2 linked regions of the Danio rerio genome follow. The main gene of each other region encodes a partner of the protein of the gene in region 2 in a complex. Links are inferred from orthologs where the notes say so. Each region holds a gene or a part of one and is shown on either strand. Other genes may lie near its edges.

Evidence for each region.
Region 1: the proteins of mybl2b (region 2) and lin52 are in contact, whole or in part, in a crystal structure (PDB 6C48), measured with the Homo sapiens proteins. The link is inferred for Danio rerio from reciprocal best matches to the Homo sapiens genes MYBL2 and LIN52. Residues at the interface, in NP_002457.1 of Homo sapiens: Trp663, Val666, Ala667, Gly669, Thr671, Asp673, Gln674, Phe676, Lys680, Ala681, Gln683, Leu684; in NP_001019845.2 of Homo sapiens: Gln84, Ala87, Tyr88, Gly91, Leu92, Glu94, Ser95, Met98, Thr99, Lys102, Phe103, Leu107, Glu108, Lys109.

What each region holds. Positions count from the first base shown.
Region 1 is NC_133192.1:33,268,438-33,284,753, forward strand, and holds the start of lin52 (protein lin-52 homolog), read right to left. Parts: upstream 10,804-16,316; 5' UTR 10,792-10,803; coding exon 10,773-10,791; intron 10,185-10,772; coding exon 10,110-10,184; intron 9,951-10,109; coding exon 9,913-9,950; intron 9,837-9,912; coding exon 9,770-9,836; intron 8,843-9,769; coding exon 8,759-8,842; intron 1-8,758. Other genes in the region: pomt2 (protein O-mannosyl-transferase 2), read right to left, coding at 12,734-12,839, 12,975-13,086, 14,819-14,959, 15,034-15,139, 15,223-15,282.
Region 2 is NC_133186.1:1,645,102-1,660,720, reverse strand, and holds the end of mybl2b (v-myb avian myeloblastosis viral oncogene homolog-like 2b), read right to left. Parts: intron 14,727-15,619; coding exon 14,584-14,726; intron 14,506-14,583; coding exon 14,406-14,505; intron 12,541-14,405; coding exon 12,430-12,540; intron 10,507-12,429; coding exon 10,390-10,506; intron 10,305-10,389; coding exon 10,155-10,304; intron 8,250-10,154; coding exon 8,121-8,249; 3' UTR 5,938-8,120; downstream 1-5,937. Other genes in the region: uncharacterized protein dtex3lb.1, read right to left, coding at 52-197, 947-1,169, 2,191-2,342, 2,818-3,046, 3,732-3,830, 4,495-4,533. UniProt on the Homo sapiens protein: Transcription factor involved in the regulation of cell survival, proliferation, and differentiation. Transactivates the expression of the CLU gene.

The sequences.
Region 1 (16,316 bases), on a different chromosome or scaffold from region 2:
TACATCAAATATAATAAACATTTTCTGAAAATTATGCGATTGCTGCTTGACTATACAAACATGCAGTCATGATGCTATAATTGTTGCAAGGGTTTCGATTTAAATAAATCTTTTTGATGCAATGCTAAATTTGATTGCTGTCAAAACAATAAAATAAATCAATGAATAAAATAAAAACCTAAAACATCACTCCTCAACACACTAAATATAGTCATAATCTTGTTAATCCTACAAGAGTCTTCCAAAATATTTGCTGTCGCATAAAAAAAAACACCCCTGCAATTAGTCAAGTAGAAACAAGTGTGTTACATCATGTGTGCAGGCGTCCGCAGAGGAATCAGAGATATCATCAGCATCGCCTGAGGCCCGTCTGTCCCGGAGGAACACTCTCCATTCAATTACCTTCAATAACAGCACTTATCAGTGTAGTGACTGGTCCTGCGGGACCGAGGGGCCTGATGACCGAGCTCAGCAGCGTTCATTCATCACGCCTCCAGCAGATGGGGACTTGAGAAGCAGCACGCGTCACACACTCCCACAAACACCCTGATCAGCGTCACGCCGCCAGCAAAGGAGGGGTCAACGTCCCCAGAGAGAGACTGGTGCGGGACATGGCATGATGACACACACTAATATATATACATGTGCATGATAGCTTTGGCTGACTCCAGCTCTTAAAATGAATAAAATTGCAGCGGAGTGTACAATTTTAGTCAGTGCAGTTCAAAATGTTACACTTTGCTCAACATGTAAAGTTCTTTGTAATTGTTAGTTTTACTCGCAATATATTGTGGTGTTTCTTATGAGTGAGAGATTGTCATTTTTATGAAGAATTTAAATTAGTTTTTATTCATATAATTTGCTTTTAATTTAATGTTAGTTAATCTTATTTTTATTCACACAGTTTTAGGTTTTATTTCAGTTTTTGTTTAGTTTTAGTTATTTAATTTGAGTTATTTAAAGATACATGAACAATACAGGGTTTTTGCAGGTTTCACCAAGTCAATTTAAGGCTTTTGAAAACCTTTTTAAGACCATTATTAATACAATTTCAGACTTATACAGGGCTAAACCATAAGGATTTTTACTTGCCCCATTAAAAAATTCTAATTGCTTGAATAATACTAATAATGTGTCAAAACAAGCATACATACACTTTATTTCTTGTCCTTAAAACTTTTCTTTGACAAGCTTTAAAAACTATAATAAACTAAATGTACAACAGTCTGTCCAGCTCAGTGTCCTCACCACATATGGTCTATAAATACATGGAGAACATACAAATGTTATCGTGAAGAACCACACGTTTTGTTAAAAGTTTTATTATTTCTTATATAACTTACCATGGACATTGGAAGATGGACGTTTAAAATAATTTAAGACTTAAAATCAATATTTCAGTGAATTTAAGACTTTTTAAGGCCAAAAATTTTGTTATTGAAATTTAAGACATTTTAAGACACTACAGACACCCTGAAAATATGTCCTTGGTAATTAGCTGAAATAATACAATTTCAATTATAAAATATTGCATAAAGATACAAAAAAAAAAAAATAAAAGCAGTTTTTAATTTTAGGGACAAAATTATTAGCCGCTTTAAGCTATGTATTTTTTCGATAGTCTATACAGAACAAATGCAAAAATGTCACTTTAAGCTGTATCTTGTAGAAGTAGAAGTATCTTGAAAAATATCTTGTCAAATATTATTTACTGTCATCATGGAAAAGATAAAATAAATCAGTTATTAGAAATGAGTTTTTAAAACTATTATGCTTAGAAATGAGTTGAAAAAAAACTTCTCTCTGTTAAAAATAAAATTGGAGAAAAAAATAAACAGGGGGGCTAATAAATCAGGGGTGCTAATAATTCTGACTTCAACTGTATATATACAGATAGTACAGATAGATTATAGAGATTTGCTTACAGAAGGTGCTGATCCACTCAACAACAGCAGCAACGACATTAAAAATGCTTAAAATTCACATATTTAAACATTTCTAAGCTTCATTTTAAGATTAACATAATACCACAATTAATCAAAGCCTAATATATGCTGCCGTTAATCATATTTTTCCACCATAAACATATGCAACTAATGCATCTAAAAGCTCCACATGCGCATGAGCCCGAGCCGCAAAAGCGAAATAAATATATAATAACAACGTGTGGCTGATAACCTTGCCTTTGGGGTGAGTTTTCACTGCCTGATTGCATTATCCCCATTAACCAGATCAAGACTTTAATGGCCGGCATGTCAAAGGTGCAGTAAATCTTCCTCCTCCTACTAACACGATCTCTCGTCAGCTCGTTTAAAGGCGCTGAAGAGAGAAAGAAACATGATGAAAAAGTAGCTCAGATTTACAAGGCTTCCCCTGACAGCCAGGAGAAGGAAGAAAATTAAACCACAGCACATTAAAGGGTGGCGCGTTAAATGCTGCTCTGAGCCCAATCATAATCGTAATTTCATATCTGTCTCCTCAGCGCGAGCGGCACTGCATACAAGAACGTGTGTTTAAAATATCTTTGTCATCGAAATACAGAACACTACAATGACGCAATCATGTCATTTTGTAATATAATGAATTTATGCAAGAATAGAGTACAGCCATGTGATGCATCTTGAAGTATTCTGAAAATGCATACAAAGGGGTCTATATGGGTACAAATGTGCAATAACAAAGGCAAGCCTGCAAGTTTTAGCCAAAAGAAAAGAGTAAAAGGTAAATATAATGCTCTGGCTGCATCAGTTTAGAAGACAAGATACGAATGGACGTCAATAGAAGAGATGACACAGTTTCACTTTTACTAGAGCTATGTTAAGCTACATTAAAAAATTCCCAGAGATGGGTTGCGGCTGGAAGGGCATTTGCTGCGTTAAAAAAAAAGTGCTGGATAAGTTGGCGGTTTATTCGGCTGTGGCAACCCCGGATTAATGAAAAGACTCAGCCGAAATGAAAACGAAAAAATAAATATGCTGAAAAAGAAACAATGCTGTTTTTGTGAGGAGAAGGAAAGTTATTGTTTTAGGAATCAACAGCATACTGGCTAACTTTTGAAACACTTGCCCTTTAACTATAGTTTTGGATTACCTTAATTTTAAATTTTACACCAGAAAAAAAGTCTGTATAATAAGTCACAAGTCTAAAAATATGAACAAATTATGCACCAATAAAGTAAATATTTATACTAGGGTGCATAGATTCAATTAATTTACACACCGAACTAATGCAAGACCAATTGAACAATCCTTAAGATGTATAAATAATACTCACAAAAGGTGACTGTGCACACATAAACAAACAGTAAATGTTTTAGTCTGTGCTGGACTATCTTCAGCTGCGGCAACATTTTAATGAAGTTCAGACATAAATCAAAGACTTCAGATGATTAACTCCATCAACTGGACAACTGAATGAAAATGCAGTTACAGTCTGGGACAATATTGCCAGTTAGGATCCACCACACATCCTACAGCACAAACGTCTTGGCATTTTCTATGGTCTTCACAAACTGACAGAAAGTCAATGGACATTATGTCTGTAATGTGATTGGTTATTAAAGTGACACGTGAACCAAGTTGACTCTTACGCTTTCTCTATTTGTAGATTATTAGAGTCATTTTCTCAGTGACCATATTGTGTATTTAAAGTCTTTTCTTAGGTATACCGTAAAATAAAAAGTCATAAGAGCATATAGCTTGTTTCTCTTAATGCACTATTTATATGAATAACCCGGAGTTTAGACCGGGTTAGTTTTGGTCTAATGAAAAATCTATTATAGTTTCTCAAAATAGCAACGCGCCAGCGGTCCGCCTCAGAACGCCTTCCTTTTTAGACCAGAACGCCTATTGGCGCACAAATGAGCGCTAATGTATTTGCTATTTAAACAGCGTAGTGCAACGTCTCAAAACCACTCTTGCGCCAAACTGAAACTACCAAAAGACTTTTGCGCCGCGTCTTGCGCCACACTGCGCCGGGTGTATGATAGGGCCCAAAATATGTTTTAACTCTGATGTTTAGAAATCAATATTTTCAAAAACTGACTGCAGAACACTGAAAATCTAAATTATTAAAATTATTATTTAAAATTTTTTCAGAAACCATACTAGACCTTAATATTGCTACTTTAGAGATGAGACCTTTTATCAACGTTTACATTTTAAATATGGCAAGAGGAGTGGGTCGTATTAGAAAATTATAAATTGTATGAAATCTCAAACAGAATTTTAAGACATTTTAAGACTATTTGATAAAGTGTTTTTTACCAGATGTCCTATTTCAATGTACAAGTTTAATCCATGCCTTTTTACTTAACCTCTTAAGGCCCAAGGTGTTTTTTTACATGCATTTTTTTTATTTCTCTTTGCTAATTGGGCTTATTGGAACCTAATTAGAATAAAACCTAAGTATCATCTTTTAAAATAATGTATTTTAAGAGAAAAAAGATGTACATATACGTGGACTCGTGGTGCGAATTTACATAAAACACTTCTTCCTGACTGTTTTTTAATGCATATATAACATATATATCTTTTTTGAACATGTTTTGACTTTCAGAGAGTTAAAAACAACATTTTTTGCCCTCTTTGGACAGTGAAAAGTGGTGTTTGGGAGATTTCATATGCTGTAAAACAGTTGCAGGATGACTCTGTATGTCTGTAACAAAATATAAAACATTCAAAATATTTTAAATGGCCACTTAAGATCTAAAATGTGCTGTCCAAGTAAGTGGCCACTAAGCCCTAGGAGGTTAAAGATGAAGACCTCACTCGTTTGTACTGCACAACTCCCCTTACTGTAAAACACATTTTACTGGACTGTCTTGGTATTAATGATTCCAGTAGACTTTTTAAAATGAAATGAACTCTTTTAAGGACATTTTTAACCAGGAAAAAATGAAGAATTGTTACCACATATTAACACTAAAAACTTATTTAATTTATGTATTCATTTGTTTGTTGTTTTTAAAATTGTATATTCATTATTGAAATGTTCTTGCTATGAAAATAGCCTTGGTTGCTGACATGGCAATAAATAAAAAATACATTTATACCAGATTTATTTTATACCAAAATGAATATTGACATTTTGCTAAAATCAAAACCTAATAAATCCGGTATATCCAAAGAAACTTTTAATTTTGGTGTAGGTGTGAAGAGACCCTCCTAATATAAATATATAAATATATATAAATATATAAATAATGCTATATAAATACACACATTACATTTTTTTAATTAGTCTATAAATGTATCTTTGTTGTTAAAATTTTATCTGATATGTTTTTGATATGACATTATAATTTAGTTAACCCAAAATTGACTGTTCATTAATGAATGGCTGTTTTTTTTCTTAAACAACTGTGTCGAAAGAAGAATCCCATCGTCACACATGACTTGACTACAAATTGACCTGAAGTCAATTGAATGTGTTTGGATCATGCTAGAGTAAACCTGACAGGGTAGTTCTCCTCAGGGTCAGATAGATCTCTGGCCAAAAGGTAATGCAGCTTTTGATAGACATAATTTTGACTCTCTATAAGATTGTTGAAACAATGGCATGTTGAACAGACACCATGAACAAAGCAAAGTATGGTCCAACTTAAAAAATAAAAGAAGCATATAAGAGTGCACAAATAAACACTGTGATGTACAATATTATTTTAACATTGACAAGATTGTTCACCAATTATTAAAATTAGCAAAAAAATATATTTTTTTTTTATTATTTAAAATAATAGCTTTGTATATAAAAGGTGCACTAAGAGACATTTGACAAAAGATGCTGACCTAACAAGACCTTGCCTCTTGATATCTCTGCTATCGTTGTTAAACACGCTTCTTACTGCTAATTGGCTGAAAGGATGGTCAAAAATGGTTTTCATATAAATTACATTTTCTTCATATAAATTAAAATATTATTAATTTTTGTAATGACAAAGCAGTCCCAGTCCTGTTCTCGAGTGTCATGCCATCCTTTTGAATATGCTAATTTTGTTTAAGTTTATATAATTATGAACTATGAAAAAAGTACTGCTTATTAATTTATGGAAAATGAACATTTCAATGAGTGCAACATATATAAAATATATAGAAAATTTTTCTCTTTCTGAATGTTACCAATTAAAGTAAATTCCATCACATTTTACTGACAGTCAGTTTTTTTCCTTCACTAAAGGACAAGCTGTTCTTTACATTATTGTCATATCAAGTTATAGAACATGAACATTTGGTTTTATACAAAACGTGTGGAGTTCATCCGGCTAAATATCCTCTATTAATAGCATAGAGCGGTGATAAATTATGTTTGGCATGATCGTGGATGAACAACTCTACTTTAATCCTGCACTCTTTCATTTTACACGTCAGCGGTGAACTCACGAAGCGACCTCTCATCACTTTACTGGTATACGTTTCCCATTACAGCACCAGGTTTGAGCAGAGACTAAAGTAACCAGTGATACAAGAAACAAATGTTATAAATACACTAAAGAACAGATGTAGCGATTAAACAGTGGGAAAAATAAGTATTGAATACATACTTCCAAAAGAGCTGTTGACATGGAATTGAAATATTTAAAAAAAAAAACAAACAATGCAAACATAAAAATAAAACAAAACAAAAGAAATCTGAGAAAATAGTTGTAATTATGTAATAACAATGAAATAACATAAGGAGAAAGTACTGAACTACTGAAACATATTTAATACTTTATATAAAAGGCTTTTTTGGTGATGGCAGCTTAAAGACAACTCTCATGTGGAGAATGAAGTCACATGAATTGCTTAGGTTTCATAGACTTCAACAGCCTGTAAAAACCTTGATGATTCTGTGGGTTTCTTCTATCAAATCTGAGCTTTATTTTGTATTTTTATTGGATTCAAGTCAGGTGACTGGCTGGGCCCTTCTACAGTTTGATTTTCTTTTAAAGCATTTGAGAGTTTCCTTGGCTGTGTTTTGAATCATTGTCTTGCTAAAATGTCCACCCTGGTTTTATCTTCATCACCCTGCTAATGTAGATGTTGGACTGAAGCAGCGAGTATTAATTTAGACTGACAAAGGGTAGAGGGTTGCTGAATGACTTATGAAAGATTTCAGTTGCAGTCTGGGCTTTCATTACCTTTCTATGGCTTCCTTTCTTCATGTGTTCAATATTGTTTCCAGTGTCATTTCAATTTATTACACATAACTCAATTTGTAAACTAATTAGATTTGTTTTATTTGCATGTATGGATTTATTTGGTTGTTACCAACATCATTGACACCTTTAGAAATATGCTTTCTGGTGACAGATTCAATACTTATTTTCCCCACTGTATAATATGTACGCACTGTGAATTGCTTAACATTGTGTGAAATTCATTTTCTTACTCATGTTAAGATGAACAAATATTTTGCATTGTGTTACCTTCCTAGAGAGCATTTAAACAAGCAACAAGCAGAGGACACAATGACTAGAGGTGGAGACATCTAGATTGACTTATTACACCTAGTTTGATTGAAGTGGGTTTGCAATGATATTAAATGCAAGCAGACTAAATGTATAATTACACACTGTATTAATGTATGCATAAAAGGCAGCATGGAAGCTTCATCCAAATGTGGCTTATTAAACCCAGATACAATGCTGTAGATATGACATGATGGATATAGAAACTCAAGCTACTCATATATGAAACTAAAAAAATTAAATGTAACGTATACTGTCCCTTAAATATCTGCTGAGTAATAAAAAGGTAATATTTACAACTAAGAAATTATAAGAGAAGTAATATAATAATGTGATCTCAGTTTACCATGATAAGAACCATTATTCAATTGATACCGGTTTCATCATACATTTTATTAAGTTTGTGAATTTCATATTCACAAATATAGTAATATTACAAGTGCTTGAGGAGATTAAAATGTTAATCTGAATGAATCTAAATCTAAAAACTACTAACGTTATTGAAACAGTTGTGCATGTAAGAGTTTTATCAAATAAAATGGTTCATGTGCTTAATTTTAAATCAATATAAATGCATATCTTTGAATTATTTAAATTAACTGATGCTTTTTTTATCCTCTCTCTGTAACATTATGGAAATTATTCAAAATAGTAGAGTAAAAATCAAGTAGACAGAAAAGCATTTGACTGATTTTTCTCATTGAAGCATAGTTTGTTGAGGGCTTTCTGAGGGACATGCCACACAAAGGTCAAATCAGCAGAAGGAATGTAATACATCTGAAACGAGTGTTCACCAATGGTCTGCAGTACTCGCTTTCAAATTGTGCGATGTTTCGATGCCCATTTTCATCTAGAAAATAACTGAAACACTTATCTTTCCTGTAATCCTGCCTGCGTGGATTAATGCTACATCTAGCAATTCTGTGATATAATATTACAGAGACACTGGGCAACAAGCCAGTTCTGTTTAAATATAGAGTGGGAATTCATTTGAGACTTACAGACTGAAATAAACGAATAGAACATAACAAATAAGTGTTTTTTCCACACAAGGATTCAGATGGATTTAGGCTCCAGACTACATATAATGAATTATTTGTTGTATTGTCTTTTTAACTCTATCCTAAATATCACAGCGGCAAAAAACATGAAAAATGTCTTTATGTATTAAAAGCTGGGTTTGTGTTTGTCAGTAAGTTTTATTCTTTTTCTAATATCGCCATCTAGTGGATGACTTACAATATACCGTAACTAGATAAACAGTGTGAACTAATGCACTATTTCTGAGTTGAGTAAGACATTACTTACACTCCTCCAAGCCCAACTGGTAAGCCAGATTCTGCAGACCCTTCACCTTTTCCATCAAATTTGCTGTGGTCAAACTTCCTAATTCTAAAAAAAAAAAAGCCACAACAAACAAGTTACAAAAAATAAAATAAAAATGGACCAGAACCGAAACAAAATATTATACTGTAGCTTTTATAAATTCCAGGGTTTCTGCAGGTTTCACAAAGTTAAATTTAAGACTTCAAGACATTTTCAAGACCCTTATGAATGAAATTTTAGACTCATAAAGGACTAATCGCTAAGGAATTTTTCATATGGCCCAGATGGAAAAGATTTTTCATTTGCCCCATCAAAAAACGATTATATATTAATAATACAATTATAATTTAATAATAAAAAAATAAATATTTTAGATATTTTTTATAAAAATATTCAAATATTGTTTAAAAACAAACAAGCTCTACTTGTATACATACACTTTATTTTTCCAACATAAACTTTCTTTACAATAAAAAATGAATTAATGTTTTTAAAGTTTTAATATAACTAAATCTATGCAAAACAATCTGTCCAGGTCGGTGTCCTCAGCAGCAAATACATGGAACACTTTTTAACAAATATTATGTATTTTGAGGAAAATAATAAAACTGTTATGGTAAACAGAGTTAAAAATCACCTTTTTATATAAAAGGTTTTATTGAGATGAATTGTTGGTGATCGTATAGGACTAATGGCCAGACTGCGTAGCGATACATAAACAAAGGAAAATTAAGACCTAATTTAAAAAAAATTTAATTTAACATTTAGGAACTACAACACAATATTTCAGTAAATTTAAGACATAAAAATGTAATTTTGAGGTTTAAGACATTTTACGACTTTTTAAGACCGCGCGGACACCCTGGAATTCACCAAGCAACTCATCTAACTATTATTAACCTATTCTACTAAGCAATATATAGAAAGCATAGATAAAAGACTAAATGATACATTAAAAGACTTGATATGAATACTACTTTAAAAAAGGCAGACCTTTCAACATTTCAATATCCTCTGACTCCAGTTCAGCCATCCATTTGGGTGGAGAATTTGTAATAGGCTGAAATAACAAAAACCAAGCCTTAATTTCACATCAACTTTGAAAAGTATTCATTATCATTTGAATATTTACTCACATTTTTAAAGGATGCTGCAAATTCTGACACACCCGGCACTGTTAAAAACAAAGCGTTCAAAAATATGACAATGTGTAATAATCAAATGTAATTTCTATATTTCAATCAGTGCATTTTTTTTTACATATATTTGGAAAAATATGTTAATGTGTCATAAATATTAGTCCAACTGAATAAGATTAGAGAGTCAAACTTACACTGCTCTGGCCACAGGTCAGGTGAAGCCCGGTCAAGATTTTCTAAACTTATCAGAGAAGATTCAAAGTCCTCACCTACACATTAAAAAGATAAATGCTCTATGGTCAGAGAAAACTCATCAGCAACAGGATCAATAAACCTGAAGTACAATAAAAAATGTTAAATATACACAATTTCAATTTTAACATAACTCAGCTTAGATGACGTTACAAAAAAAAATCTTCTGTCACATATTATTCAAGGTGTAAAATTAAGCTGATGTTATGACAGAGATATTATGTTTACTCAGCTGCTAAGTTACTCAAAGCTGAGCTAGCTGCATTGAGTAATCTTGTCACAAAATAATGAGTTACATAACTAACGTTAAAGATAAAATCACGACACACCAAAAGTAATATGTCTTCGCGTATTTACTACACTATTACATTCGTATTAAATTATTACTACACAACTGATGTCGTCTGACACGTAGCTTTGCTAATGACTGGCTCCAAACAATTTTATGACGCTATTCCGACTGAAAAGCTTATTTTGATTCAGAATCCATCAGTTCTTTATAAAAAATATGCTAAACCGCATAATGATTTATATGACTTAATTAGTCCGTTGCACTATTGCGTTAACAACTAACGCTGCCAGGGAAAAGAGGAATTAAAATTTACCTCCATTCGGAGACGCCATCTTGACAACAACACACGTGATTCTAAGCAGCCAATCACTGGAGGTCTTGGATAAAATAGCCACACCCTCTTATGTTGTAAAATGATGTCGCAATAATTGACTGAAAAATATGAATATAAATATTATTGACAGCACAAACCTTTTTGTTGACCAAACTCTTCTCAGTTCTATGTCAAACAAAGTGATTCTCTTTATTGTTAACAGTTCTCTGATCTCTTTAATGGTCTTTAATGGCCTTTTCTTGATATTGATCTTGGATGGTATTCGGAAAAAATACATATTTTTATCTAATAAAGCTGTTGAAGTCTCAATCAGAATCATTCATAATTGCTACCCAATAAACAACAAACTAGGTAAATTTAATAACAATATTTCCTTCAAATGCTCATTTTGTACTCAATATGGTGAAACACTAAATCTTTTTGGCCTATTTTGGGAGTGCACTTATTGTAAAGTCATTTGGGTTGACTTTTCCAATTTCACAAAAATTGTATTATTTCCAAACTTTTGTATTTCCCACAAAAAATTATATTCTTTAGATACTTTCTGAATTCTTGTAAATTTGTAATTAATTGTTTCCCCCCCCCTAAAATTTACATCGATAAATGTAAATTTTCAAAGAAACACCCTACTTTTTTATTTTAAGAAATTACTTTATATGTGAACTCTTTAAAAGACCCTAACAGTTATATTGCATGTAAAACACTTTCTTGGTGTAAATCATTTAAACTTGTTTAATTTGCTGGAATTTTAATTATGAATTCATTTCTGTCTATTTGTTTAAACTGTGTCTTTGATAACGTTCTTTCTTGCAAAATAAGTAAAAATATATATGAATAATATGCGAACATTAATATGTTTAGCTTTCATACAGAGTACTTGAGTAGTATTATGATAGTGTTAATATAATATAAGACTCAAGACTCAGTCAGGCCAAAAAACACAGCAGAACAAACTTCTGTACAGCTACAAAAAAGGCAGTAATTATAAATAGACCAAAAATAAAAATTATTGGTAAACATAAACAAGTCTAGTTTCAGCACATTTTAACGTATCATATCAATATTTTTAACAGAGTGTTCATTTTATTTATTTTAAAACACTAAAGAAACATCATTCATTCACTGTAGCATTATTACTTTGATCAACCCATTTTCAAATGCTTTGTACATAGCATTATACGAAAAGGCCCATTTAAAAGACATTAAAAAAGGGATGGTATTGTAAAACTGGTTGAAGAAATAACTATCAACACCTCTGTACAGATCATGTCTCTAAAAGACAGAAGGTCACTTTATTATACTTGGAAAAATAAAATAATTAGTAAAATTAAATAAGTAAAATTCAAGTATAAATACAGAGCTCTTACAATGTTGGTGATTAATGAAAAACATATATATTTTCAGTCAATTGAGCCAGAAAATGTGTTGGTATCAAATGCAACACAACCTAAATCCAAATAAATGCACCTGAGTCAGTCTGTTTACAATTTGCATTTAAGACAATAATTTAAAGACAATATTGCAAACAATTTTTTTATCAACAATTCAAACACGAACTCAACTGAACTTTTCAGGAAAGACTGCTCATTACATTACAGTTTTAAAACAGAAATGCTATTAAACATTCTCAAACTGAAATGATTTAAATACAAACAAAAAGGTTAATGCTTTATACATCAGCATCTTCAAAACTAGAAAGGCACTTCAATGTTTTTTTAATAAATTTATTTCAGTCCAGCTACAGCAGTTGCACAACATCAGATTTTTATGTAAAATACATGACTGTAAAATATCGTAATTTTATACAATACAAAAATACTATTTAAAAATTTTCAACAGCCTAAAATCAGACTAAATGCTGTCCTTCAACACGGAAATGTCAACATGTAACAAATGAAATAGTTTTGAAAACATTTTATGAAAACACTTAAAACGTTTGTCTAAAACTCCCAGGATTCCATCCACCTGAGGCCGGCCATGGAGGAGGCAGAGTCATGTGCCAGCGGCCCTCTCATGCCATAGGAGAGAGGGTGGAAAAGATAAAAGCTGAAAACAGACGACAGCGGAAATATCAGGTTAAGTATCAATATTAATAATGTATAAAATAGGACTTACTTTGTAATTAGTTACATATTCTGAAAGACATGAGCCTCTTAAACAACTAAACTTGTAGATACTCACCTGTAGATAAACCCTAAGAGGAGCACCGACTGACCTCCCCTCATCAGGTAATGAGATAAAGATGAGCTAAAGAGAAGCTGCAAATTCTGAAGGAGGATGTCCAGAGTAATACCTTAAATAAAGAAGGTTTAAACTTTATATTTAGATTATTCGTTATTAGATTAAACATGATTACATGTATTGGATTACGCGTTATAATAATATGCATTACATGTAATAACCTGAAAAATATGTTCAGCAATGCTGCAGACTCACAGTTTGAAATAAAAACACAGCAAGACCACAGTACACTTTATATATTGTTAGATAAATTATTAGAAATCCAGATAAAAACTGTTAACTGTATTCTGAAAGTAATTTTAAGAGCAACTAAAGAACATAAAAGGAGGTAATTAGAGCAAACACAATATTCGAAAAGTAAAATGGACGTAATTTATATTAATAAGCAGAATTTCAGTGTTTAAAAAGGCTGATTTACAGTGCTTTTAAACTTTACAATAACAAACTATAGAATATCTTTCAGAGTACCTTTTGTTAAATATGATGCTTTTTCTAATGTTTTTTTCTAATGTTTTTAAATGAAAAATGCCAAATTCTTACATCAAGATCAAGGCAAAAAGAGCACATGAGAAGTCTTGTTTTCTGAGGTATTCATTAGTGAAGTCAATTTATGATTACAAAAAGACAATATAAGCATAAAGTCTTTCAAGTATGTTTTATTTCTCAAAAAAAAAAAAAAAATCCATGTCTTTAAATTAAGGCCTTAATTTGCAGAAGACACATTAAACCTTTTTAAGATCTTATTAAGACCTGTAGTATAATTCTGTGTAATGATTAAGTCTCAAGTTGCAAACTAAGTTTAAAAATGGATTCATATGTGGCTTTGTTGTTGATGCCAGGAAAAAACTACAACAATAATTTTAATTTATTCATATTAATATTATTATTATTATTATTATTATTATTATTATTATTATTATTATTAGTAGTAGTAGTAGTAGTAGTAGTAGTAGTAGTAGTAGTATTTAGAGAGAGAGAGTTAAAGCACACTTTTAATCCTATTCGTATTGTCCATATTGTTTCTTACAATATATTAAACAAGGGCAGGCTCTGCTTTCATTGGTCAGCCCAGTCTCTGTTGTGATTGTGTATATAGACCATTTTGAGGGATGTAAACAATAACAATGGTCCTAATGTATTTCCTGTTTTACATTTTTAATTTCCATAGCTTCCGAGAATCCAAAGGGTTATCAAATTGATAATGTTATGATAGCTGTTTTAACGTGAACATACGAACCCAATTCAATTTATTGGAACTGTAAACTGTATTTGCTTTCAGAGTGCAGAAAACAGTGTCTTCTTAAAACTTCCACAACACAAACCAAGCCTTCCGAGCCTCAGCTACAACTACAGCAGGGTCAAAACATACATAATTTGTGGGCAGCCAGTGAGGACTACTGATTAACATTATGCAAATTTATTACAGCCTTTGTAGGTCTGTCCAGGAAGAAGGACAGAAACAGTCCTTTTTTGAGAGACAAATCACTAGAGACAATATTATACAATACATAAAAAGATAATGTCTAAAACTTAACTGGGCTGGCACACTAATTAATACAACTTTTCACCTCCATAATAAACTAGAAGTAAAAAAAAAAGGTTTCATAAAAATAAGTCTTTAGAAAAGTAAGCTGACGTCTCTACAAATCCACTAGTAATTTTTTAGTAAAGCTACTTAATTATGAATTTTCAGTGCACAGGTAAGATGTCAGTGTGATAAGAATCTCATCAGATTTCCACCAGTTGATAATGTGGTGTGTTAGTCATCATGTTAGCTTTTGTACCTGTTAGCATACTGCTGAACATCATGGCAGGAAAGTAATGATGGTAGTAGAGTATGCGACCCATGATGTAGAATGGGAGATAGTGTAACAGCCAACCCAAAAACAGCATCCCGCCACCCTCCATAAGTGTGTGACAATGCACTGAAACAAAACATCAACTCTTTTAGACCTGATCATTTACTGTAAACAGCACAAACATCTGCATTGCTGCTTACCTTTCATCATTCCCTCCATCTTCACTCTTCTCTGCACTGCTAATGAAGCCACCGTCAGCAGGATTACAAATAGAGCCAGACTTAACAGGTTCAGCCACCAAATGACCTGAGGATGTGATGGGATATTTACTAATGATGGAATAAGAGGTCTTGGAAAATGGAGGACAAAAAAAGGACAGAGACACTTACAGGGTTTCCAAGGAGATAAACACGGTATTCAGTTTCATTCACTCCAGAAAACCTCAATCCCTGTTGTGAATAATAAATAGTGATGTAATGGTACAGAGATATGAGATAAATATGAGATTTTGTCTGTGTGTGTGGGTGCGTGTGTAAATGAGATATGTTTTTGTTTAGGTGGCTAGGTAAAATTAAAAAGTATTAAATGACTAAAACATAAAACAAAATCTACCTAAAATGACAAAAGCACAATAATATTTTTAACAATAAACTTAAACTGATTAAAGATCATTATTAATATTAATAAATGTTGTAATATTGTAACGGTTTATCATAGGGCTGAAACTTATAATCAAAAAAATTATTGACACAAATTGCAGTAATCAACGCTTCGTTAAAAAAAGTAACGCTTCACTTCCTGTCTGTTTAACATTTATTTGATTTGCTAAATATAATTAATAATATAATATAATCCTGAGGATTAACCCCAGGATGCCGGGGTTAAACCTCTTTATCGAAGGACATCCTGGGATTTTTGGTTTAACGTCTCATGCGAAAGACGGCACTCACTGAGCAGTATTCACCTTATTCTCCGCCGACGAGTGGGCGCTGCCATTTGAATCTTTTTGGCTTGAGACTTCCGGTCTCATTCACCTCCATTCATTTTTTGACGTTAAAAACTGCTCATTACGCTGCTTGATGTTGCAATTTGATATTTTCTTATTATATTATTCTACTTGGTCTGTATAGCCATGCAAGCATTTGTTTGTAGAGCAAGTAGTTTGACCGTTTTCTGCCGTTTATTATTCCTAGTCATTTCTCCCATAGGCGACTGAATTGGAAGTTTTAAGACAATCGCGAAAACAGGAGCACTTTCGCATTTTAGAATAAGGTCAATAGAGTCCCTGTCACTATACTGGGGTATAGGAGCCACACAGACTGCAGGTTGGGCGCCCCCTGCTGGACTCACTAACACCACTTCAGGCAGCAACAAAGCTTTCCCATGTTAAGTTTATGAAGATGAATTTGTTATTTAACGACATCTCAGCAACAAACGCTATTTTCATGGCAAGAACATTTCAGTAATAAATATACAATTAAAA
Region 2 (15,619 bases):
AACTTATTAGATTAATTGTGCCTTAGACTTAATTATACACAAAGTAAACACCTGTTGTGATGGAGCTTTGATCTTCTCTGGCAGGAAGGCATGTGGTTCATCCAGGTAAATCCGTGCCGTCACTTTCCTTTGTTTACCTTCCTCATAATATTTAAACTTTAAAGGTGTAGCTGTGTGGTTTTTCAAAACCTCTAGAGCTACGGAGAAACAGGAGTACATTAATGCACATGTTTAAAAGTATACATTAATGCATATGCACAAGAAATGACCAGACAAATAAAACTGAACTGTTTTAATGATGTTTTACTGGTCTTAAAGGGACAGTTCACTCAAAACTGAAAATGTACTCACTACTTAACATCAAGTGGTTCCTTTTTCTGCTGAACACAAAAGAAGATATTTTTAAGAATGCTAAAAACCATCGACTATCATACTATGGAAGTCAATGGTTACCGGTTTCCAACATTTTTCACACTATCTTCATTTGTGTTCAGGAGAAAAAAATTAAAACAGGTTTCAAGAGTTCACACTTAGCTGATGATTGATTATAAAGCGTGTTTGGCATGCTGTCCCGGGAGACAGCCTTGAGCTCAGAAGATCCTCGAGCCCGGAGCTCCCTCCCGTTTAGGGAGTTTGAGCTCAGATAGATCTCGAGAACTCCCCTGATTATTAATGCTAATGACAAATTAGGGATTGCTATGGAGAGATATACTGCTGACTGAGCTCATCTATAGTGCCAATTTGGTTTAGTCAATTCACTTATGTTGCATGTCTTTAGATGTTGGGAGGAAACCGGGGAACCCGGGGAAAACCATCCATGCACGGAGAGAACATGTAAACTCTGCACAGAAACATCAACTGGCTTGGTAAGGACTTGAACCAGTGACATTCTTGCTGTGAGGCAAGATTCTCAAGATTTCAGCTAAAATGTATTAAAGTGACTCACATGTTGCTGGAGTTATCTGCACTTCTGCACACGTCGGATCCTCCATGAGTTTAACGCTGTGAATAACTGGTGCTTCTTCCAGTTTGGACAACCAGATCTGCAGGGCGATCTGTAACCTTGCTCTCCATCTGTCTGGAAATGCTTCAGCCCAGTCCACTTTGATTTTAAATCTCCCAAAATCCAGTGATGCTGGAGGTTTTTCATCACAAGCTGTATAAATGTCCTGCATTAGGAAATACATGCAAACTTTATAAGTGAATAAATAAAACTGTTACTGAGAATGTGTCGACTTTTCTTTTGCAGATGTCCCCATGAGACACAATTACCATCCAAATTAGGCTGAAGTTGCATATCAGGCTCTGCTTGATCCTATACTGTTCACCGGAGTCTTGTTTAGGCTCTCGATTACTCTTGTGTTCATCTAGTTCTAGTTTATTTTCCTTAATTTCATTGCTAGTGTAGTAGTTCAGGAGCTTTCTTTGGTTATGAACAGGCTTTGCTGTCAAACTCATTCATTCATCAATTCCCTCGGCAATTCCTTCTCTATTTCAGAGGTTGCCACAGCGGAATGAACCACCAACCGCCAGCATATGTTTTACCCAGTGAATGCCCTTCCAGCTGCAACCCAGTACTGGGAAACACCTATATACACTCATACACTATGGCCAATGTAGTTGATCAATTCCCCTATCGTGCATGTGTTTGGACTGTGGAGGAAACCGGAGCACCGAGAGGAAACCCACGCCAACACGGGGAGAACATGCAAACTCCACACAGAAATGCCAACTGACCCAGCCGGGACTTGAACCAGCGACCTTCTTGCTGTGAGGCCTCAGTGCTAACCACTGAGCTACCATGCTGTCAAACTCAATCATTCATTCATTTTCTTTTCGGCTTAGTCCCTTTATAACCCAAAGTCGCCACAGCTGAATGAACCGCCAACTTATCCAGCACGTTTTACACAGCGGATGCCCTTCCAGCTGCAACCCCTCACTGGGAAACATTCACACACACTCATTTACACTCATACACTACAGACAATTTAGCCTACCCAATTCACCTGTCCTGCATGTCTTTAGACTTGTGGACCCAGCCGAGGCTCGAACCAGCAACCTTCTTGCTGTGAGGCGAATATCCAACCACTGTGCAACCGCATCGCCTGCTGTCCAACTTTAATTTAATGAATTTAATTAACTAAATTAATATGCACTTTGTCATAATTACTCACAAAATTAACATGATACCTCTAGTAAAGTAGCTCTGTTCCCCTCCAGCAAGGACTTGTGTGGTACATTCACATAAGTTGCTCCATCAGGACAGATCCACGCAGTCACTTCCCTGTTTTCATTTTTAAACCTCAAAGGTATAAACTTCAGCTTCTTTAAAGCTTCTAGAGCTGTAGAGAAGTATAGAGAGGTTATGTAATGGAGAGCCCTATGACATTAATACATGTAAACAACTGAAGCAAGAAACAAAATACAATTTCCAATGTCTAAACAAGATGAAACCAAGTGCAGTTTGTTTAAAGGGGAGCTATTTTGCAAAAAACACTTGTATAAGAGGTTTAAACACAGCTGTGTGTGAGCAGTGTGTGAATATATCCAGCTTCTAATGGTAAACATGAATTAAATCTATTGTTTATAATCAGACTTGATCAGAGCAGTCTGCAGGAACACTTTGATTGACATTCTCCCTTTGTATGATGTCATCAGAGGGGGAAAGCCCCGCCCACTAGTGCGCATCTCTCCCTCATTAGCATAAACAGCAGCCCTGAGTGAGAAGCAGCCGTCTGTCCATCAGCCATTAGAGTGTTTGAGCTGCTGAAGATAATGTCAGCATAGACTGAATTGACTGAAGTGAATCACCGTCACCTGTTGATGGAGTTATCTGCACTTCTGCAAATGACGGATCATCCATGAGCTTAATAGTGTGGACCGTTGCATTTTCTTCTAGTTTTGACAACCACGACTGAAGGGCGATCTGTAATCTTGCTCTCCATCTGTCTGGAAATGCTTCAGTCCAGTCCACTTTGATCATTAATTTACCGATATCCAGTGGTGCTGAAGGTTTGGGTCTTTCATTACCAGCAGTATAAAGATCCTGTTGTGGGAAAAGTGTTGATTTAAGTAAGCATTATTACCTTATCGCCACAGCGGAATGAACCGCCAACTATTTCAGCTGCAACCCAGTACTGGAAAACACCCATATACTCTCTAATTCACACACACACATACACTACGGCCAAAATAGTTCAATTAATTCCCTTATAGCGCATGTGTTTGGACTGTGGGGGAAACCGAAGCACCCGAAGGAAACCCACGCCCACACAGGGAGCACATGCAAACTCGATACTCGAATCAGTGACCTTCTTGCTGTGAGGCGACAGTGCTAACCACTAAGTCTCCGCCCTCGCAAGTAAGCAAATACATCAAACCATGCCTTTGTTTGTTGTGAACACACACCCTCTAGTGGCCAAATCTACATATAGATGCCTGCATAATCTCCTGTTAATGACCCTTATGTTGTTTAACATAATAAATAATCCTATTTATTATCAACAATAATATTCTTACTGCATTATAATGTATGCATAACTGTTTATATTGCGTATCCAAAAGAATCCCTGCTCACTTTCAAGGGAAAAATGCAATATATTGCGAATAACAGTTAGATGCACGCTATAAAACTTGTAAATAAACCTAAAATGAAAATGAACTTTTTTTTTGGCTTCTGTTTGTATGACTGATATTAAATGTGTGGCTTATTTATACTCTTCAGCTCATACCTCCTCTAGCAGTAAGCTTGGCCGATCCATAATAAGGTTTAGATGCTTCCAGTCTGACAAACTGGACCTCGAGTCTTCATCACCTGCTGTATATAAGTCCTGCAATTTAGGGAAACAATAATAAAATAAACAGATTTATAAACAATTTCAATTAGATTCTAAAAAAATTTAGTTTTACTTATAATATACCTTTGAATGTAGCATATACTGTACATGTGAAACTACAGTGTTTTCAGATGGATTGCTTAAGTCATGTGATGCAATTACGATGATATATATATATATATATATATAGTAAGATAAACTAATTAGTAGATTTCTGTAAGTATACAACAATACACCAGTTTACTATTGTAAAAACTAAAGTTTACCACAGTATGCTTAATCATTCACTAACAGTGTGTGTTGTGAATATACATAATATTTCAAAAACACTATAGCCAATACTATACTACTATTCTCTGTGTGGGTAAAAACTACATTATGCAATCAATTGGAAACTTTTTTATCTTATTTTTCTGATGAAATAATACAATAAACCAATTGACAAATACATCTTTGATTTACATGACATCGGAAGAATCATGATTCAAGGGTCTGTTTTGTGACATCAGGACACAAATCTGTATGACATGGGTATTAAAAGAAGATAGTCAAATATAGTAGGATATAGTTGATGTGAAATACAGTTCGTACAGTACAAAAACAATGTAATGTCCCCACAATTCACAAAAACAAACGTGTTGTGTTGAAAATTACTCACATATTCGCCCATCTCCATTGACCTGAATCCCTCTGCCATGTCTGAGACTGAGCAACAAACACAACTGGAGAAAACTTTGGCCTTCAGTACATAGAAATGAAGCAAACAAACAACAAAATCCATAAATTAAAGCCATTGCTGTTGTAGTAGTAGCGTTCAACTCGTTTGGTTTAGTTTTAGCGTCGTATAATGATGTGGGAAAACATTTAGACAAGTCATTTCATATTACACTGAACATTTATTATCATTATTTACTTGTGTTTTACTCACTGCAGGCGTCAATGTCTGTCGACGTTCAAGTGAAGCCCTCTTTAACAAGTGTTGGAGCTGTAATATCAGTCGACACAAACATAACATCACAATATTACTGAAAAGGGAAATAATATTACTGTCAGAAGGACAAAACTAGGCTACTTGTTAATTTTACTCACCGATAAATGCGAGCTGTCAGTGTTTTACCTGAGAAACTGACACTGAAGCGAAAATGAAAGCTAATCTCTGTTTTCACGAGGGAACTGTGGATTTTAACACGCACACATCGACAGATTATAAATAAATGTGAATTATTGTATCAAAAGGCATCTATCATACACTATTAAGAATTAAAATTTTAGTAAACAATCATAAGCGTACAGTTTTAGGCTTCAATACGCTTAAAAACTAGCCTGGGCGAGTTCTTAACACTTTGGGTTGCCAGGTAATGTTATGAAAACCCCTCCTGTAACATGATAGGCTATGTGAAGTTGATTTTAAAAACTAGCCTCCCTGACAAAGGTGTTGTCGCCTATCTAAGTTTTAGGAACAACACATAATAACTTGACTTCTAGTTGATCATTTGGTATCAGAAGTGGCTTATATGAAAGGCAAAGGCCTCTAGATTTGCTTAATTGAGCACAATAAAATCTGATCATGCCTTGATTATTAATGATTTGATTAGGACAGTAAGGTCTGACTTTGCTCAGACTAAAGTCTCATCACTGAACAGAAATAATGTCCAGTATAGAATATAAAGTCCTGCTGCAGTGGAGACAGAATGAATATTGTGTCTGACTCCATCATGAGCTTGGAGGACTGCATCCATACATCTCTGACATGACTGATTAATAAAGTCATCTGGAATGGCAAAGAAAGCCTTCCTGCAGGACTCCCAGAGCTCATCAAGACTCTTTGTGTTCATCTTCAACATCTCCTTCATTTTACCCCAGACATGCTTAATAATGTTCATATCTGGTGACTGGTCTGGCCAATAATGGAGCAGCTTGACCTTCTCTGCTTTCAGGAGCTTTAATGTGGAGGCTGAAGTATGAGGAGTGCTATCCTGCTGGAGAATTGTCCCTCTCCTGTGGTTTGTAATATAATGGGCAGCACAAATGTCTTACAATTTTTGGATGAACTAACCCCTTTAACATCTGACTCATGAGCTGGCTCTAGTGAGGAGACGTGTGAATGATAAGCAGGGTTTATTTTACAGCATTGATTCTCCACTGGTGGACAGTAGAAATGTCAGAATAAGCAAACAGACAAAGCACAAAGAACAAAACATGAATCTTAATGAAGTATTCCCAAGCTGAACAATGATAATACAACAGGAGCAAATCTGTTAGCATGGAAATGTACGCAAGCATGGTGAAAACATGTTGAGCACTGATCCTGACTGATCTCTGAACAGTTATATTATGAAAACTACATACAACTGTTCCCATTTCTGTTTACGAAGTTCATCAGCTATTTTCTTTCCTGATATTTGGACATTAGTTTGAGCCAGATAGCACATATTCAACTGCAAGTCATATTTTAAAGATTGTTTGGTCTGTTCATCATCTGATGTGTACAAATATCTGGTAAAGGTCATTAAAAGGTCTATTTAACAAACATTATGAATCATCAACATCTTAAAGACATTCTCTACACATCTACTTAACGTCTACATGAGACGTCTTCCAGATGTAAACACACACAACAAGTAGACGTCTCTGTGACTTACACGTGCTGAAACAAACAGCTTAAACTAGTCCAGCCTGGTTTTAGAGGGGGTATGGTCATTTTCACCCTGGTCTTAGCTGGTCAGGCTGTAAAATCACCAGCTAAACCCAGCTTGATCAGCCTGCTTTAAGCTGGACGTAGCTGATTTTGTCTGGGCTTCCAGCGTGTCTAGGCTGGTCAAGCTGGTTTAAGCTGGTCATCTCCCAGCCTGACGCGCTAAAAGCAGGCTGGAAATAGCTGGAACCCCTCTAAAATCAGGCTGGTCGAACAACTAAAGCCAGCCTAGGTTAGTTTAAGCTGATTTTTTCAGCAGGGCTATAAGGCAAGGGTGTCCAAACTTAGTCCTGGAGGGCTGGTGTCCTGGAGAGTTTAGCTCCAACCATAGTCAAACACACCTGAAGCAGCTCATCAAGCTCTTACTAGGTATACTAGAAACTTCCAGGCAGGTGTGTTGAAGCAAGTTGAAGCTAAAGTCAGCAGGACACTGGCCCTACAGGACCAACTTTGGACACCCGTCTTACTTGATATACTAGAAGAGGGATGTCAAACTCAGTTCCTGGAGGGGCGCAGTTCAGTTTAGTTCCAACCGTGCTCCAACACACTTACCTGTAGGTTTCAAACAACTCTGAAGGACTCAATTAGTTTGATTAGGTGTGTTTAATTAGGGTTGGAACCAAAACTGTGCAGGGCTGCAGCGCTCCAGGAATGGAGTTTGACATCCCTGTACAAGAAACTTCCTAACAGGTGTGTTAAAGCAAGTTGGAGCTATACTCAGCAGGACACCGGCCCTCCAGGCCGAGTTTGGACAGCCCTGCTATAAGGTAATGTGCTCATTTCCAGTGTTGCCATTAAGACAACAGACATCTATCCATCTTTTATAGCATTTCTACTTAAAGAAATTAAAGTAACAGCTTCTGTACATTATCAATTAAAGAGAAACGTCATCTCTAAAAATACAAATCATTTACCAGATTCATATTTATGAGTGTCTTTATTCTCTTAAACACTAATATGTGTTTAATGCATGCTGAAAACCGGTAACCATTGACTTTCAGAGAAGGAATAATACAAATACAATGGAAGTCAATGGTTACAGGTTTCCAACATTTAAAAAATATATAATATTTAGTGTTTAACAGAACAAAGATGCTTAAACAAGTTTGAAACAAGTCGATGATGACCACATTTTCATTTCTTTGGGGTGAACTGTCCTTTTAAGTCCTCAAAACATCCCATGTGAGGCCCAACAGGCTGTTTTACAAACTCTAATATTTGCAGAAGAGCATGACCAGGTTTACAAAGCCCAGGAAAACAGTCAGCCTTTTCCTGTTTACATCCCATGCTGAGTCTTACACAATCCGAGTTCAATTATAAAAACAGAAACCTGATTACGAACTCTTGAGCAGAATACATGTTTGCTGGCATGTCAGGAGCTTGTAGACAGTAGATAAATAAGAGAAAATCTCAGCACTTCTCTATACAGGGTGTTTGAATGCGCTGATGCGCCACAGGAAACAGGACGAGAGCATCATCAGCAGTAAAGTGTCTATTCTGGAACAGTAATTGGGTTCATATTCTACACAACATTTACAATTGGTTTTCCTCCTCCATACACGCATTATGTTTTGTAAATAAAACGTGGCTCAGGACAGGATGAGGGCTCGGTTTGGGGTGTGAGATTTTAAAGAGCGAAGGTATCGTCTGGCTTTCTCCGTCATGAAGAGCTGATCTTTCGTCCGTCCGCAGACAACAGTTTCCCACGCCGCAGACATCTGTCAGAAGAGAAAATTATTAGATAATTAAGACTTTTTTTTGTTCTATAATTTTTTTTTTTAAGTTGCTTTTCTTTAAGTTAATGAAAATATTCTCAACTATTTTCTGCTGCAGACAAAACAGCACATTTAATTAATTTATAACAAAACATTAGCAGTTTTTGGCAAAGGCACCTACTTTACCCCCTTTTCAAGATTTAATTAAAGTCTTTCGTGTCTCTAGAATGTGTCTGTAAAGTTTTAGCTTAAAACACCCATCAGTTTATTTATTATAGCTTTCTGAATCTGGGAAATTTGAGCTGTTAGGACACTTTAGATGTTTTTGTTGCCCGTGCCTTTAATGCAAATGAGCTGGTTCTCCCCGCCCACTGTTCCCACATGTGTCAGAGCCAGAGATCTCTCTGTATTGCTCTGATGGATGTAGCCTTCACCTGCTGCGTCTCATGTAGATAAACAGCACAGTGACAGACACAAATGAAGCAGATCTGCCTTACTACAGTAAGAACTTTTCTAATGGTTATTGGAGGCATTTGTTGTGGAGTTTATTATTTCTGCAATGATGAGTCACACACACAAACGTACACGCACGCACAGCTTTGCACATTAAATGTGACAGGATACACATTAATATCCACTGTTGATGTACAAAATAAACCTGATTTAAGTCCACAAACCGGGACTGAAACGTCTTCTTTTATAAATGTACAGACATGCGGCTATGACGATGAACTACAGCGAAACACAGTCTTTACTTTATTACAAATATGCACGACTTTAAAAGCATTTTAAACTTGTAAAACTCATTCTCGAGATGCAAATTGTCATAAAAGAGCAGAACAGATCTTTTAATCCCAGTTGTTTTGCGCACATCCTCTTATATGGATATGATTGTACGCGTTACTATGGAGACATGTTCACATGCAGCTGTCAATCAATTCATGGGTGGGGGAAACCGCAGTGCTATGTCATGTTGCAGTCGGCTTCAAACTTGCAGGATTTGGATGCTATTATAACATTAGGAAGTTAAAAGAGTAAGACTTATTGTCTTTACATCACTCCAGTTTGACTGTGGAAACACTATACCTGCACACAGTTCTGTCTAAAAGGCTTACAAAAAATGATTTTCCTCATAGCTGCCTTTTCAAGTCTCTTTCTACAGTGCTTTTTATTATTTATATTTATTGACATGATGTATGAAGACCTGAAGTGCCAAGAAAGGCACCTTTAACTTAAATGCATTATTTTTTTTACTTACAATTGGACTGAAGAAAACGCATCTGAAAACCTAATAAGCACATTCATTTTTCAGATTTTACTTAGTAAAATGTTTTTCCAATTAAAGTTTATTAACATGAGCTCAATTAACACATTGGTTTTATTTAATGACAAATTTCCCATGTGCATTTTCAAATTCCACCCTATTTTTCTATAATATATACAGAAAAATACACATAAAAATGGAAAAGTTTTACAAAAAATACAAAAGTAGGCATTACAAGTTAAATTAATTGCCTAATTTCTTAATTAATTGATTAGAATATGTTGAGCTTATTCTGTATTTGCTGACAACAACCAAAGTAATATAAATAATCCAGTTAGAAAAAAAACAACAACTGGTTTCAGTTTCTGATGTTATAAACCAGCAGAAAACAAAACAATTAAATGAGCCATGTTTAGTCTTTTAGGAGTACCTCATATCATCTAAAATACTCAGAAATATCTGACATTGGACAACGTTTTCAAACAGAAATAACCCAGTACACGAGGTGGAGCCGTGTAACTACCCTTTTCCAAACAAAGTACACCTCCTTGATCAGAGCCGGTGTGCATGTTTGAGATCAGCACATGCCTGAAATGATGTCCTGTATGCGTAACATGAGCAGAGTGTGATCTACAGCTACTTACAGGCAGTGGAGAGATAGTTTTGGGTGTTGCCAGCACTGGTTTAGAGGCAGGTCCACTTTCATTAGGACCCAGAATAAAGCCTTGATCCAGAACATTCTCCTCCTTCACAGCACATGAGGACACCGGAGGCTCCGGCTGCACCGTCTGAGGCTGTGAATACAGAAACTCTTTCAATAACACTTTACATCTGAAGAGAGGGCCAGGATAAACGCAACACCAGTGTGGTTTTCTGTACCTTCTGACTGGGTTTGACTGTGGCTTTAATCTGCTGCTTTCGTGCAGCAACACTTTCACTGCAGTCGATGACATCCAGAGCCAAAGACTTACGCACTTTCTTCATAGGAGGCCGATACTGTTGAAGAAGACACAGATCATTCAATATAACAGCAAACCAGCAACAAAACGAGAATTTATTAGGTTTACTCCATATCAGCAGCTCAGATTGCTTTCACTGCAAATCCAGCTACAAAATGAAATAGGATAATCATTGAATACATCAACATTTAATCACTTAAGGCTGCACTTGATATGAATGTAATCAAAGGTTAAACCGGACACACAATCTGATGCATGCAGATCAGGGTTTAAATGTCTCTTTGCTGTCAGATCTTTACTGATTTTTATAAAGTAATCTCAATAATTGGTTTGATTTTGATGAAAATAATTCAAGATGTCGGCGCCAGTGGTGTAGTGGTTAGTGCGTCGACACATGCACTCCGGTGCTCACGGCGACGCGAGTTCAATTCATCCTCGTGGTCCTATGCAGATCCTTCCCCTTTCTTTGCTCCCTATGCTTTCCTGTTAATACTCTCTACTGTTCTATCGAATAAAGGTATAAACCCCGAAAAATAATAGTATATAAAGACTAAAGCAACAGAGGCTTACTGAATTATTAATATATAATACTTAAGAAACACTTTAGACAACTTTGAAAGTTCAGCAATATCATGAGTATCACATGATAAGTTGTTTTCTTTCCAGAACCTTTACCTTCTCTGTTCCTCAGCGCTTTGATCATCTTCCTCAAATGATTAGAGATGTTTAGAGGCTTGGGAAGATACATTTGTTCATTTTTATTAGTCGGCTACAAAGTTATAAAGATATTGTTGATTTACAAGCAATATGAGAACCTTTAGTGCATGTAAAATACCAGAATCTGCACCACATTGCATATCATTTAGACCCATTTTCCTCATTCTCTCAGTACATATGTAAACTCATATTTTGCATATGCTAATATGTTTTTTTTTTTTATTAAAAAAAAAAAAACACTTTTAAATGATTTTAATATTAAATGGGTGCATTAATTAAAATTTTTTTGGGAAAAGTATTTTAAGGTTTATTTTATTTATTTAATCTCAATTGTAAAAATACAGACAGGTTAAGGTAATATAACTAAACAATTAAAACTAAAGATCTTCAGTTAATCAGATTGTTTAATCAGACTTTAAGATCTTCTGTTAATGTAATTCTGGGTTTCAGCAGGTTACACAGAGTTAAATTTAAGACTTTAAGACAGTTTAGGACCATTATGAATGAAATTTTAGCCCATAAATGGCTAAAGGTTCAATAATTTTCTACATGGCCCAGATGGAAAAGATTGTTATTTGCCAGATCAAAAATATTATAATTTAATAAATTTAATAATACAATAATACATTAATAATAACGTTTTAAAATACATTTTTTTAGCAAAATATTTAAAACATTGTGTAAAAACAAGCAAGCTCTAGTCGTATCCATACACTTTTTACAACATAAACTTCCTTTAAAATAAAATAAAAATGAACAAATGTTTTAAAAACTAGAATAAGTTTAAAAGTTTAAAGTTTTATTGAGATGATTGTTGATTACTGTATGGGTTTTGACCAGATTTGGTAACAATGCATGAACAAAGGAAAATTAAGACCCGTTTAAAAAAGATTTAGGACCTACAACACAATATTTGAGTAATTTTAAGACTTTTTAAGGCCTAAAATTTAGATTTTGAGATTTAAGACATTTTAAGACTCTGCAGAAACCCTGGTAATTCTACAAAAATGCAAGGAAAAATTTGGACACCTTAACCCTCAGGCTTTTATAGTGTCCTAATTTGTTTCTTCACAAGACTGGAGTTAAAAGATGCACTTTTTATTAGGTAAAGACAAATGAATAACTTTTAAAAATAAAAGAAGTTATCAGAATTTCTGGTCTTAACCTCCATCAGTAATAGACGTATTAATGATCCACTATGACTGGAAATGGAGCTATTCTCTTTCCCTGTCAGATCTCTCACCACTTGTTTGCGTTTCTTCTCAGCGGGAGCTTCATCTTCTACGATCAGCTCGATTCCTGCTTCACTGCGCAGCACTTCTTTAAGATCCTCCTCCAGATTTGGGGTTGGAGGCTGAAGAAAATAGCCCAAAGCAAAGACAGAAACAATATTTTGTGAAACACAATGGTGGGAGAAAAACATCCAGGATTTAAGCATCTTTTTACGACGCAAAAAGGACTAAACTATTTTGTTTTAACACCACAGAGGTTTATAGTAAGACTTTCTGCAGGTTTCATACGGTCAAACTGAAGACTTTTTAAGGTGATCATGAATGAAATGTAAGATATCACTATGTTGGTCTCATTTGTAGCCATAATACATCAACTATATCTGGACTAGCAAAAGAAACAAATACACAGGATTCTGTAGCACTGCAGGCATATTTCAATGAGTTCGAGTTAACATTCGAGGTGTAACGGATCACAAATCTCTATGTTCGGATCACATTATGGTATATTAGTCACGGCTCGGACCATTTTTCAGAAGAGGGGGGAGACAAAAAATGTAATTTAAATAATATACTATAATAAATGTAAATAATACTGTAAAATCAGCACTGCAAGACACTTTTGGTTTTAACAAGCAGAACTTAACACCTGTCATTTAAATAAAAATAACATGAAGAAATAATCAGCTGAATAAAAATAAATTGTAAAATATTCAGTAGACAAATTCACCGTTACTCCTACTGCTGCTGATAACCCTAAATGTAGAAATCTAATTTAATTTGTACAATCCATATTTATTTTTAAGCCTCATCCTCAATAAATGATTGAGTTATTCACTCATTAAACGTCATGTTTCATTGCTAGATGATCATTTCTGAAGAATTATTCAGTGGCGCATTTTTGACGGCTGGTTGTTGCCAACTATTGGTTAAACAGTAGCTCCTTTCACACAGAGATACCAGTAAATATCCAGAAAATTTCCGGAACGACTTTACCGGTAAATTCAAAAAAGCGCTGTTCACTCAGGCGAGGACTTTACGGAATTTTTCCGGAAAAAGAGCGTTCACACAGCTTGTGTTTGTAAACATTTGACTACATTACAAACTCTTTGGATGGATCAGTATTGAGTACAACTCCAATGAAAACATCTGGAGGAACACTTTCGCATGTCGAGATGTTCATGATATGCATGTGTGCTGGCGCTATGGGCGCTCACGGGCATGCGCAAAGCTTGAAGGTAAACAAACAATGGATTATCATAAACATCTTATCGCTGATTATTTACACAGTTGGCATTAAGATGAACATATAAACGTTATCCGACTAAGATCTAGCAGCTAAATGTGTCTGGAAAAATATTCAAAGGCTTTTATTCTCATAAACTGTGCAGACGTGAATGCGTCTGACTGTTCTGATTGGCTAAAGTAGACGTCTCATGTCAGCACGTTCTAGACGTGGACATCTTTCCGGCAATCTTCCTACAGCGCAGCATTCCGGCAAATTACCGGTAATGTTACAACTTCTCTTTCCGGAAAATAGCCAGAAGGAATTTACCGGTATTTTCAAAAAGGGCCTGTTCACACATACACACCTTACGGAAAATTGCCGGTAATTTTCCGGAAAGGTCTGTATGTGTGAAAGGGGCTAATGTAACTGCTGCCTTCAATATTAATTTAAGCGTCAAGTTTAATGAAAATGACGGTGATTTTAATCTTTAGCATAAACATAAGTGGTTTTATCTAAACTATAACCTGTTGTTTCAGTATAGCCGTGTTATTTGCATGTCTGTAACTTCATAACGATCTCAAAACACTAAAGACTGAATCTCCTGATTGTTGCGTTTTTCGAACAGATTTGAATGCAGCGATTCGAAGCATTTATAATGTATGTTGCGTGGGTGTTGCAATCCAGATCTTTACTGATTAATCATGCAGCTTATACTGAATGCATTAATGCAGGCTGAACAGAGTTTTCAGTAAATGTTCTCACCAGTGGCCGCAAAGGGCCGTATTTTTCCATGGCGTTTTTAAACGGAGTGGGCGTACGAGGCATCGTGTCCAGATCAGACTTGTGATTTGGTGTTATAAACCTACAAAGGAGGAAACATACACAAGTTCAGCAGTCACATCAGAGCTGAATCGCTGTGTGTGTGAACGCAGAGACGTACAGGGAGTTTTCCTTCTGTGTGAGCGGGGTTTTGTCTCGGTGCAGCGGTGTGGTGACCACGGCTTTCTGACTGCACACGGGAGTGGAGGTGAGGGACGGGTTCTCCAGGTCCAGCGTGTCCTGCTTCGTCCACATGTTGAGGAACTTTGAGAACACAAATATAATATTAAAGGTTTTGAATAATAACAGAAGCAGTCAAATGTTTCCTAAAGTCTGACAGGAAAGTTTTTGCTATAGCAATTAGGTATGCAAAATGACAGACATTACAAGACAGTCAATGAATTAAACGCTTAACTATCAAATCAGAGAATCATATCTGTAATACATTTATAATAATACAAGAACTATCATATATTGCACCTTTAAAAGTTAGATTCTTTCAATTCTTTACAAGAAGTTAAAGAGAAAAAGAAAACAAAACACAAAGATAAGGTAAAAAAAAAATGTACAAATTAAAGACGCAAGAGTCATTTTATTGTCACTTGCAGCTTTAATTTGCATATTGTGGTAGCATTTTAGCAGGTAAATACAGGAGAACCATGCAGCCATTTATATGTGCCACACTTGCTGCAGCCAGTAGATGGTGATATGACTATAAATGAACATTGAGCATTTAGAGGACTTAAAGATCTTTTACCCCTTATAATATTTATGCAATGAAGCCTGACTGTTAAAAAAAAAGTGATCAAATAGAGATATATTTTAAAGATCTTTGAAACATGCATTTAAGACATAAAAACTAATTAAGGCCTTATTTTTACACTATGAAATGCAAGACTTTAGGGATCTGTGGCCACTCTGCTTATGTACTAACATTATCTCAAATGTTTAAAAGAACACTCAGATCCTGTGAAATAAGCTATTTTAACTTTAAGAGATAACAAGTAGAAAAGACCACAACTCCCATGATTCCACGCTCAGTCAGGCTGTCATTAAAATACACGCCCTCTTGTGGCCAAAATTACATAGTGCAGAGTTACTGAAGTTTGTCCTGGGCGCTTGCTTTTTTTTCAGTTACGTCTTTGGTTTGGTGCGTT